3 linked regions of the Canis lupus familiaris genome follow. The protein of the gene in region 3 interacts with the protein of the main gene of each other region in a biochemical or structural test. Links are inferred from orthologs where the notes say so. Each region holds a gene or a part of one and is shown on either strand. Other genes may lie near its edges. The genes, in order: BIK, BAD and BCL2L2.

What was found.
Region 1: the proteins of BCL2L2 (region 3) and BIK interact in a biophysical measurement, tested with the Homo sapiens proteins (2 studies listed by BioGRID and IntAct, with this or other methods). The link is inferred for Canis lupus familiaris from reciprocal best matches to the Homo sapiens genes BCL2L2 and BIK.
Region 2: the proteins of BCL2L2 (region 3) and BAD interact in a biophysical measurement, tested with the Homo sapiens proteins (4 studies listed by BioGRID and IntAct, with this or other methods). The link is inferred for Canis lupus familiaris from reciprocal best matches to the Homo sapiens genes BCL2L2 and BAD.

Annotation. Positions count from the first base shown.
Region 1 is NC_049231.1:23,388,834-23,393,170, forward strand, and holds the start of BIK (bcl-2-interacting killer), read right to left. Parts: upstream 2,820-4,337; 5' UTR 2,740-2,819; intron 1-2,739.
Region 2 is NC_049239.1:53,295,992-53,299,412, reverse strand, and holds the end of BAD (bcl2-associated agonist of cell death), read right to left. Parts: intron 1,392-3,421; coding exon 1,201-1,391; intron 652-1,200; coding exon 526-651; 3' UTR 512-525; downstream 1-511. UniProt on the Homo sapiens protein: Promotes cell death. Successfully competes for the binding to Bcl-X(L), Bcl-2 and Bcl-W, thereby affecting the level of heterodimerization of these proteins with BAX. Can reverse the death repressor activity of Bcl-X(L), but not that of Bcl-2.
Region 3 is NC_049229.1:3,690,812-3,694,855, reverse strand, and holds BCL2L2 (bcl-2-like protein 2), read right to left. Parts: upstream 2,827-4,044; 5' UTR 2,754-2,826; intron 2,477-2,753; 5' UTR 2,389-2,476; intron 1,910-2,388; 5' UTR 1,902-1,909; coding exon 1,470-1,901; intron 874-1,469; coding exon 724-873; 3' UTR 365-723; downstream 1-364. UniProt on the Homo sapiens protein: Promotes cell survival. Blocks dexamethasone-induced apoptosis. Mediates survival of postmitotic Sertoli cells by suppressing death-promoting activity of BAX.

The sequences.
Region 1 (4,337 bases), on a different chromosome or scaffold from region 3:
CACCTCCAGAAAAACAGGTTTACCCATGCAGTGCCCGGCAAGGCCCAGCGGGTGTTTTGTATTGTCACATCCTAATATTGACACTAGGAAAATCAGCTGTCCTCTCCAAGCCCGCCTCAGGGCGCTGACCACCAGCCCTGGCCTCTCTGCTGCCAGCCTCAATGCCAACGAGGAACTGGGGGCCGTGGCCTCATTTGCTTACATTCTGTATTTCTCCCAGGGCCTGGCCCCGGCCAACCAGCAGCAGGACAAAGAGACCAGGGAGCGGCTCCACATGTCCACTCTGGACCCACTGCAGGCTTCCTGGTGGCTGCCAACAACAAAACCCGAGCGTGCCGGCAACTTCCTTGAAACCTCTTGGAATTGTTCTGAGCCGAGAGAAAAAAACAGCCGGACTCTCGTGGGATCCACTATGTTCGAGGCAGGGGAAGCAAGAAACCATTAATTGTCTACAAACTTAATAGGTCCACTACAAACAGGATGCTTTCCAGGGAGAGGGGAAAATACCTCCGAGGTCAGCGTGGAGACCCAACCAGCGGATGGAGCCATCCTCCGAGCACCCCCTTCCACAACCTAGCCCAGCAGGAGAGGAAAAGAACGGGCTAATGCTGCTCTCTTGGTTTCTCTGCAGCTCAGCAAATCCAGCTTTTATACCTGCCAACCGCCTTGTGAAACTTGGGGTATGTAACAGGCATGCAACCCTCCGTCCAGCCTCTTCCCAGTGGGCCCTGGCTGTGCCACCTGCTGGGGATACTCCGCTGAGTGTGACATAGGTCCTATGGTCCTCATGGAGCTGCAGGCGAGCGTCATGCTAAGTGAGCACAAATGGGTAATTTCAATCTGTCTCCAGTGTCCTGAAACAGTACAATGAGTTCCTTGCACAGAGGATGGGCTGCACCTTTATAGAGGAGGTAGTCAGGGAAGACTTCTCAGAGGAGGCAAGCAAGCCAACGGAGCCAGGGAAGGATGACACCCGCAGGGACGGTGCTAAGTGCATCACTCCATTTGTTTTAGGCCTCACGGGATCCCTGGGGCTTGGAGAAACACCCTTGCTGACACAGTTCCCACCCTACCACCACCACCACCCCAAATCGCCTGGCAACCATCTTAGAAGGTTGATTAAATAGGATTCCCCTGTGGTGGGGGGGGGCACATTCTGAGGCACTGACTGAACAGCCACATCCTGGAAGCCAGTCTCCCCAGGTGCTTTAGACACTTCAAACCAAAAACAAGCATAAAGAAATTTGTAGAGCATTGACGCTGGTAAGAGCCCTACCCCACAGCTAAAGCCGGCAGTGACAGCCCTGTGACCTTGAGGTTCAAATGGTGGGAAATCCCCAAATCCTGGAGCGGGAAGGGAAGGGTGGAGGAGAGGCCAAGCTGTGGGCAAGGGCAGCACCAACAACCAGCGCTGAGGCTGGAGTCCCCGCCCAGCCATCGCCTGAGACAGACCACTTAGGGAACTAGTGCAAAAACCACACCAATCAACTCCTGAAAGGTGCCACTGCCAAGACGTTACCCCAAAAACATGCCCAAGAGAAGCAGACACAAGGTTAAAGCATTTGCGCTGAGGGAAGCCACTGAAGAGCCACCAACACCAAGTGGGTGTTCACAGCTGGTGGGGACCTCATGGACCCATTCTAAGGAATGAGCAAACTGAGGCCCAGAGGCGGGAGCAGCCCCTGTAGGACAACACAGCTGGACAGTGGCTGGGTGGAGAGCTTTGGCCGCGCTCCCAGAAAACAGCTCCGGGCTCTTGGTTTGCCGGCGTCTAGGCGGCCTCCTCCTGGAAGCGAGTCTCACTTTGACCACCTGTGAAACGAAGCCTCCAGTCTCCGGAGAGGGCCAGGATGCGGCTCACAACCCTCCCTTCCTGGGGAGCGGGCGAAGCCTCGGGGAGCAGGCCCGATCGGGGCCGGGCCACAGTGGGTGCGGGGCGGGGTGATGTGCAGCGGCGCCCCCCGGGGCGGCTCATTCCAGCCAAAACTACACTGACGACCAACGACCCACGGCAACACGGCGGTTTGGCGCCCAGGCGGCCGGCGGGTTCGGCGGCGCGGGGCTCGGCGGCGGGAGCCCTCGGGGTCGCGGGAGGGACGCGCCCGCGGCCGCTGCGGCGGGTTTGCAGGGCGAGGCGGGGCGCACCTGCGCGGGGCTGGAGCCGGGGCCGGGGCCGGGGCAGGGGCAGGTGCGGGCGGCGGCCGCGCCCCGCTCGCCGCGCAGTTCCTGTTCCGGGCGCCCCCGCCGCCCGCGCCGGAGCCTCTCCCGGCCCTTCGCAGGTGCGCGGCCACTCGGGGCGCCCCGGGGCCATCTTCCCGGTTTCGGCGGGGGGACCCCCTCCCCCGCGGGGGCGGGAGCCGGAGCCGGAGCCGATGGCGGCGCGGGGGGGGGCGCCCCATTACGCGGATGCGGGGACGGAGGGCCCGGGGGCGCCGCGGCCGGGACCCTCGCAGGCGGGGACCTGGACGCCCCGCCGGACAGGGGGCGTCTCGGAGCCGGGGGTCCCGGGAGTGACACACCCAACAGCGGCCCGGGACGGAACCACCTGGGCACAGGTCCCTAAGCAGCCCCCGCTCGGCACCCTGGGCGCCCATCTACCGGGCTGGGCGCGGGGGCGCGGGGTGCAGGGGCGCGGGGCAGCGGGGCAGCGGGGCCGCAGGGCAGCGGGTGAGGGGCGCGGGGCGCAGGGCGCGGGGCGCAGGGCGCGGGGTGCAGGGCGGCGGCGGGACCTGGACTCACCGCGGGTCCGGGGCGCTGGAGCCGGGACGCGACTGTGTGCGGCCGCCGCGGGCGCGCGAGCTTATAAACCGCCGGTCGCGCTCGGGCCCGCCCCCGGCCGCCTCCCCGCCCCCAGCCCGATCCCCGACCCGGGCTCGCCGCCGCCGCCGCCGCCGCCGTGCGCTCCGTGGCCAGGGTCTCCAGGCGGGTGGTCCCATTCGCCGTCCGAGCGGGTCCCGACCGCCCGGGGCTTTGGTCCAGGCCATTTCACCAATGTGGAAACTGGGCGTCGGAGAGGACCCAGCGACAGCGGGGACCCCCCCCCCCCCGTCATGCTCTCGGTGCTAGCAGCTTCGGGAGTTAGGTTTTGTTTTGTTTTTCTCAATTTTCTTTATTGTGGTGAAATACACACGACACGATTTACCGTATCAACCAGTTTTAAGTGTGCCGCTCAGTGGTGTTCAGCGCCTGCATAATGTGCAACGGTCGCCACCTCCCATCTCTGTGATTCCATCTTGTGAAAACAAACTATAAAAACTCCCCATTCCTGGGGCGACCGGCTGGCTTAGTGGGTGGAGCCTACGACTCGCGACTCTCGCTGTTCTGGTCATGGTTTCGAACCCTACTTTGGATGTAGAAATGACTTAAAATAGATATATGTATATATACATATATATATATACATATTTTTTATATATTTTAAATACTTTATTTACTTATTCATGAGAGACACAGAGAGAGGCAGAGACACAGGCAGAGGGAGAAGCAGGCTCCATGCCGGGAGCCCGATGTGGGACTCGACCCTGGGTCTCCAGGATCACGCCTGGGCCAAAGGCGGTGCTGAACCGCTGAGCCACCCAGGGATCCCCTATATACATATATTTTTAAACCTCCCCATTCCCTCCTTCACCCCTCGGCCTTGGCACCCACCTGGAATTAGGTATATTTCCGCCTATTTCACAATCGTGAAAACCAAGAGTGAAGCTTTGGCAGAAACAGCGTCAGCAGCATCCCCCTCCTCCAACGCCCCATCCTTCCACCTGTACCACCCACTGCACCCCCATCCCAGCCTTCCTCGTGGGAGCAGCCTGTAAGGGAGGAGCCCTTCCGTTCCTGCGCCTAGGGAGAAACGGGGGTGCAAAGCCCCTAGGGAGGAGGAGAATCACAAAGGTTCTAGGTAGGGTGGGCCCCAGCCCTGGGGCTGGTTAGGGAGGGGGTAGGGGCAATCCCTGAGGTGGAGCAGGGGAGTGTGGTGGAGGCTGAGGCAGGCAGAAGCCTGGCTGGGATTACAAAGTAACCACTGTCCCAAGAACACAACAACAAGACTTGTTTACCTTAGTCCAGCTCCACAGTGTCTGAGGGCAGAGGAACAGCAGATCCAGGGGAGCTCCCCTCCCCCTAATTGTGCCACTTGCTACCTGGTGGGGCCCCTGGCCCCTTCTTCCCATTTCTGGAGTGACTGGCAGTGATGCCCTCTTTTCCTTCCGTGTTATCTCTGAAACGGCTGACCCCACCCTACACCTGCAGGGCTATAGGGTGGATCAGAGGAGAGATCAGGATCTGTGACCACCAACAGATAATCCTTGGTAAACACCAACAGAGTTTAAACTTCAGGGCCC
Region 2 (3,421 bases), on a different chromosome or scaffold from region 3:
TCGCCGCCCCGACCCCTCCCCGGGCTCGGTTCCAGGAGAAGCCGCTCAGGAGGAGCCTCGGTTTCCCTCACGTGTAAAGCGAGGACGCTCTCAGGGTTGCGAGGCCCCAGGCGACAGAGAGAGGAGCCTCGGCGGCACAAACGCGGGCTTTATTAGCACATTTCGTAGCGAGTGACAGCCCGCAGCGACGCCGCGGAGGAAAGGGCTCTGGAGAAGTTAGGGTTTTCCTGCCCCGCAACTTGGCGCAGACGCTCGGGGCAGCCCGGGCGGGGGCCGGGGCGGGGGCACGGGGCCACTTCCGGCCGCCAAGGGCGCGTAAACTTCAAAACTTCCGACGGGGCCAAACCCCTCCGTGCTCCTGGTGCACACCGGAAGGGGATCGGCTTTGGGTCAGATCGCCTCCTTCGAGAAGGAAAGAACTGAACCTCTTTCTTACATCAAGCCTGCGGGAAAGACTTCCGCCCACACCCAAGATGGCCGCCGGCGGCGCCGAGAGAAGGGGAGAGTTTCGGGACGCGGGACGGGTCACTGGGACGGGGCGGAGCCTCCTCTCCCCAAGTTCCGATCCCACCAGGACTGGATGACGCGCGTCCAGCTGGGGCTTTGTCGCATCTGCGTCGCTGTCCCCGCGCTCTTCGGGCGAGGAAGTCCCTTCGGGGTGGGAGGAGGAAAGGGTTAAATGAGTTAGCTTGTTCTGGCAGCGCGAGTCGGAGCCCTCCTCCTCCGGGACCCCGCCGCTAAGTGAGACGCCGGCCGGCCGACCTAAAGACCGTAGCTCCCAGCATGCCCTGCACCGAGGGGCCTCCTGTCCACTTGAGGAGCCTCGAAGGATCATTTGGGCCCTTAGGAACGGGACTGATTAGGTCCCAGACACACTGTGCCAGGGGCGCGGGGAGAGAACGCCAGGACCCCGGAAGAGCCCGAGACCCAGCCTCTGGAAGCCGGGACGGCAGTCCAAGAACTGAGGAATTCTGAAGTTGTTGAAGCCAAAGAACCCGGATATCTGAAAGGGACTGCCCGGGAGCACAAATGCCAGCGCGCTCCGCGCCGCGAGGATCTGGGGAACTCGGGACCTTTAACGTTCTGACGCACGGTGTGGACTACAGATACCGGCAGGCCCTGGGACTCAGGGTCAGGGCCGACGGAGAGGAGCGGCCCCGGAACTACAGTTCCCGACATGCTTTGGGGGCCGGCGCTCACCTTGAAGGAGCCCTGGAACTCGTCGCTCATCCTGCGGAGCTCGCGGCCGTAGCGCCGTGCCGCGCAGAGGTTGGGGGGCGCTGAGCTCGAGCGCCCCCGGAAAGGGCTGAGCTCTTCTTCCTCCATTCCTTCATCCTCGTCGGTCCCCGCGGGGAACGAGCTGTGGCGACTCCGGGTCTCAGCCCCAGCGCCTGCACGGGGGACGGGGGCGACATGAGTCTCTACTCCTTTGCGCCCCCAGCCTTGCCAAAGCCTTCCGGGCAGCTCCCTCTCGCTGATGGCTCTGTGTGCACAGTACCTTCAGGGGTACCTGGAGCCCCAGTTCAGTTCCTTCATATGTAAAGCGAGGGAAGCTCCTGGGGCTTTTGTGAAGATTCGAATTAACTTCTCAGTAATCCCACAAATCTTAATTGAGCCCCAACAGTGGGCCAGGCCCTTAGAGTATCAAATGACCTGCCTCTGTGCCTGCCACAAAATAAGGCCATAAGTAGTATAATTATCAGTGCAACACCACAGGGCCCCGGGGCACTCCCTGGATGAGGTCTCTGGCCCCAGGCAGGGCTGAACTCTTAGCTGGGCAAGTGATCTGCGGGGGGCCCATCTATTTCACTGTTGTGGCCTAGGGAGACCTTGGGTCCCTGGAGAACAAGCACCTGTCTGCAGCATGTCTGTACCTCCCAGAACACCCACTTTGGAGATTGAGTCTGGAAGGGTCTATTAATTTTTTTTTCCCTTAATATTTTATTTACTTATTTGACAGAGAACACAAGCAGGGGGAGCAACAGGGAGAGCGAGAAGCAGGCTCCCTGTTAAGCAGAGAACCCAATGTGGCCCTATCCCAGGACCCTGGGAACATGATCAGAGCCAAAGGTGACACTTTAAGTCACCCAGGTGCCCCTGTCTGTTGACTTTTTAAGGTAATGATTATGGAGCACTTACTATGTGCCAGCCCTCGGAATTACCTCATTATGCTCCTAACCATCTTAAGGAGTACTAATATTGCTTCCATTTTATAGACGATAAGACAGAGACTTAGAGAAATGAGACTTGTCCAAGGTCACACAATGTGAAGCTCTCAGGCTGGAACTCCCTAGAAGTTTCTTGGACTCCCGAGTCCAGTAATTAGCCATTGAGCTACCACCCTTCAACTCTGAACCAGTGTGCTCACCTCTGTGTGGGGAGAGACCTATCCCCTACTACCAGTGGCTGTGTAGAGGTCACATGAAGTATGTGAAAGTGCTCTGAGAGTTGAAAGTACATGATAAGTTGTCATTCACAGTCACCTCTCCTGTGTTCTGACCTCTGTACTGTGTGCCATCCTTCCACTCCTGCCAATCCCACCCCCAAATCCAGACCAACAAAGACCTAGAACCACTCCCAGGAGCAAGAACCCAGAGCTACATAACAGCGTGAAACACAGCATGGGCTCAGCAGCTGAGCACCTGCCTTTGGTTCAGGGTGTGATCCCGGAGTCCCAGGATCGAGTCCTACATCAGGTTCCTTGCAGGGAGCCTACTTCTCCCTCTGCCTGTGTCTCTGCCTCTCTCTCTCTGTGTAACGCTCATGAATACAATAAATACAATCTTAAAAAAGACAGACAGACTGACAGCATGGAACAAACACACGGCAACATGCTGGGGGTCCCTGGCAAAGCCCATCTGTCAGGGAAGGCATTTTGGAGGAAGTTGGATTTAGGCCAGGCTCTGAGGCCAGGGGACAAGTGTCTCATTCTCTCCCAAAGGACCTTACACAAAGCCCTACAGGTCACTTTCAGGGGCTAAGAAAGATCCGTGGCTAAGAAAGCTAAAATGTGGGGATCCCTGGGTGGTGCAGCGGTTTGGCGCCTGCCTTTGGCCCAGGGCGCGATCCTGGAGACCCGGGATCGAATCCCACGTCGGGCTCCCGGTGCATGGAGCCTGCTTCTCCCTCTGCCTATGTCTCTGCCTCTCTCTCTCTCTCTCTCTCTCTCCCACCATGTGTGACTATCATAAATAAATAAAAATAAAAAAAAAGAAATAAAAAAAGAAAAAAGAAAGCTAAGATGTGAAGAGAGTACTCGATTCAGAAAGGTCTAGATTAAGAGAGTGGTCAGAGCTCCTGGCTGTTCTGAGCTTCACCCAAGTCCAGGCCTGATGTCAGGAAGGAACACCATACAGCCTTTGAGAAGTGAGGTGGAAGTGGAGAACAGGCAGCTAACTCAGAAATCAGGATTGGGAATACT
Region 3 (4,044 bases):
CTACAGAACTTCTCTTCTCCCTCAAGCCTGCTGATGACTTTCTGCCAGAAAGTGCCCAAAGCCCTCTACTGGATACAGTGTTTCTCCCACAGCCTTGAGGCATCAGGACAAGGGGGGGAGTGGGGGGGAGGGGCAGAGAACTGCCCCTTGTTCCTGCCACTCCAACAGGGAGCTCTTCTCAAGTACAGCCACCAACAGGTTAGACAAGCAGCCCGGCATGCACACAAGCATGCGTACACATGCACACACATGTCCAAGCAGCCCACCATCACAGCCATCTCTCTCTATCACCAGAGAACCTCAAGCTTCCATTTCAAAGGAATGTGCCCTCTGTTTCCCCCCCACACTCTCACTCATCCAATGGAGACACAACCCCTCCTGCAAGTCGACCTTCCTCATGGCTACAAGCTAAGTTCTAGGTATAGTTTTGTGTGCCTACACCTATAGACATGATCTCTCCCACCTCCTCCTGACCTTGGAATGACTTTATCTCCTGCCCGCCCCCCCGCCCCCGACTTTCCAAATACATTCCCTAATGTCTCCCAGCTCATCCTTCCAACTGCCTGCCTGGCAAACACAGCTCCTTCACACAGTACCCTGCCCTTTCCGATCCCCATTCCGTGCCCATCCATTCACCCCACTTCTTCCAAGGGCATTTCTCCTGTTCTGTTCTTGCTCTCCTGTCCCCTAGCCACACCTAGCCCCGCCTGGCCCCGGACTTGCTCACTTGCTCGCAAAAAAGGCCCCTACGGTGACCAGGGCCCCCAGTGCCACGGCCCCCGTCAGCACTGTCCTCACTGAGGCCCAGTTCCCCTCCCGCAGACGCCGCGCCTCCTCCAGGGCCCCGTCCCCGTATAGAGCTGTGAACTCCGCCTGTGGGAGAGAAGGGAAGTAGGAGAGAAAGAAGGAGAAAGGGAGATCAGGAGAGGAAAGAGTGGAGGAAAGAGGAGAGGAAGAGTTCCAGTTCCATCCACTGCAAGCACTACCCCATACCCAGCTCCTCGCCAGCCAAAGCTCTACTGGCTGCAAGGCCCCATCATCCCCCATGAGCGCCTGGCTCATTTGCCCTCTCTACCTCAAGTGAATCCCAGCCTCTCCTTGGCCAAAAATTGTGCTCTGAACTGACATCCTTTGCCAAGGCTTTCCTAACTACCACCCCATCCCTGACACCCCATCCCCACCACCGCCCATGTCACCGTACTCTGGTGTAAAAAGTTCCTGACAGCTGGATGCCATTTCCCTGCAGGCACTGTGTAGTCTGTCCTCTGCTTTGGACCATGAACCCATCCAGTGATGACTGCATGGCAGCCCTGGAGTGCAGAGTCTAGCGAGATACCCATAGTGAAGGCATCTGATTCCACCCAAATAGGGCGACTCCGCCCCTAGCCTCCAGCCAGAGCCCCCATCTTCCCTCTGGAGACAAGCTTTTTCGGAGGGGTGTGCAGAGCAGCAATTGAGAAGCTTCTTACCCAGCCCCCACTGCTGTGGATCCAGTCGGCCAGCCGTGTCTCCAGGTAGGCCACCATCCACTCTTGCACTTGTCCCACAAGTGGCTCCATCTCTTTGTTGACACTCTCAGCACACAGTGCAGCTCCAAAGACAAAGAAGGCCACAAGACGGCCCCAGTTGGGGCCCCCTTGGAAGAGTTCGTCAGAGACCTGGGTGAAGCGTTGCTGGGCTGAGCCTGGGGTCACATGCAGCTGGGCTGCCAAATCAGAGAAGGTGCGCCGGAAGCGGGTCTCAAACTCATCTCCAGCTGCCCGCATGGCTTGGTGCAGTGGATCAGCTGCTGGGCCCTCTCCAGGGCCAGCTCCACAAACATAACCCTTCTGCCTCAGCTTATAGCCTACAAAGTCTGCCACTAGAGCCCGTGTGTCTGGGGCTGAGGCTGGGGTCGCCATCCGGGCGGCTGTAAGAGTCAAGGATGAAAGACTGGCATGAATATATGGTCAGAGAGCCAGAAGGGGTACTTCAGGCTTGGCCAACCCAGTGAGACAGGGAGAGAGGTGGGAGGAAATGCTCAGAGACCACTGGGCAGGGAAGGGCAAGAACACAAGAGTTAAGTCAAGGTGAGCGGTCAGGGCATGAGGGGCTGGCCATTAAATTCATAATATGCCACATTAAATGCAAAACAAGTAAATTTTATTTTTAAAATACTTTAGATTTTTTTCCACAATAGGAGAATACCAGCTCTGCAACACCCCTGCAAACCACCCCCCCCTTCCACAGTACACACCTTTTTGGCTAAAGGAAGGGGCCTAGTACTTCCCCAGAGGGAAGATGTGAAGATGCTGGCAGAGGCACACAATGGGGGTGGAGACAGGGGCTGAAGGGAAAGGTGGAAGAAGCAAAGGGCTGCCTGGGACAGAAAAGAAAGGGGACACTCACCTAGCCTGGATGGCAGCTCTTAGGACCCAGCCCTGGTGGCAAGGAGCCCCCAGCTGGGGCCTTTCATCCTCCTGGCCAGCGTGGAGCCCTGGGAAGGGGAGGGGGAGAGCAGAGCTAGGTGGGGAAGGCCAGCGATCAGAGTCTGGACTAAGAAGGCTGGGGTTGCAGCTTCCTGGACCGGCCCCTGCCCCCAACATTCTACCAGCTGTGTGGCCGAATCCATGTTTAACGACTGTCCTCCCGGGAAACCCAGGGCCAAGGGCTTCCTGCCTTCACCATCTCTACTCCCGGCTCCCCCCCAGTGCAGTCCAACAGCCCAGCTCCTCCTTCACCCCCACCCTCAGCAAGTCTCCAACCCCGCCTGCCTGCCAGGTTAGGGATCTCACGGGTCAGGCCGCTGCCAGGATCCGGGCCGTTTCCTGGTGCAGGAGCTGGGAGGGAGGGAGAGAGGGAGGAAGGGAGGGAAGGAAGGAGGGAGGAGAAAGGGGGGGCGGGAGGGAGGGCCCGGCGCCGGGTGATGATGGGGCCCAGAGATGCGTCCAGAGAGAGAGGGGCGGGGCTGGGAAGCAAGCTTGGGAAGGGCCACAACTCCGGAAGAGAGAGGCCCGCTGGAGGCCAAGAGGAGTAGGGCTGGGAGGATACCGAGGGCCAGTCTGGGCTCCTGAGACTGAAGGCTGCCCAGAGAAGCCGGCTAGGCCTCAGGAAACCTCGGAGTAAATTCACCATTTCCCAGAAGGTCTCTGATGTTCCATGCACTTGTTGAATTTTTCCTGCCCAGGAGCGGATGCCTGGATTAGGGGAGCAGTTCCCACTAGAATGGGAACTGCTGACCAGGTGCCTTCCTTGCCTTGCGGGACTGGCAGACACGACATGGACACTGAACATTTCACTTCCTCTTCTCTCCAGGACCTCTAATCTAGTAGTCTCTTCATGGGCTGAAGCTTTAGCCAGGCATCAAGACTTGGATCGCCAAGTAGTTTCTGCAGGTAACTTTTCTTTACCTTCCTTTCTTTCTTCTTTCTTTCTTTCTTTCTTTCTTTCTTTCTTTCTTTCTTTCTTTCTCTTTCTTTCTTTCTTTCTTTTTCTTTCTTTCTTTTTCTTTCTTCTTTTTGTTTTGTAATCAGATTGGTTTTCATTCTAATTCTTTTTACTCAACACATGAATTCTCATGACAAGTTCAAACAACATAAAGGTATAAGGGGGAAAAATATGAGTCCTTAATCTCCCCCCCCCTTCCACCTCTTGCCCAATTCCACCTCCCTTCATGGAAGTTGCTAATGACAAGGTTGATGTTTACTCTTTCAGATTACATATATATATATATAATATATATATAATTATATGTATAGACACACACATATATATGTATACTTATTATTTATACAAGGCAGTATATTTATACAGGGCAGTTCACAGAATATTAAGCAGTCTGTCTACAGGTGATCCTCAGGAATGTTCTCTCAGGCATTCTGACTGGGCCCCACTGGCTCTTGCTCTGGCACGTCCTTCGGCTCCATTTGAAGGGATCTCCAGCCAAAGGCTAGAAAGCGGCAACCCACTTTTCCTTTCCTGCTGGTTCCCTTTACTTCTACCTCTACTTCAAGCCTTGATATTCCGACCTGGCCCTACAGTCACAGGAGAAGAAAGGTTTCTGTA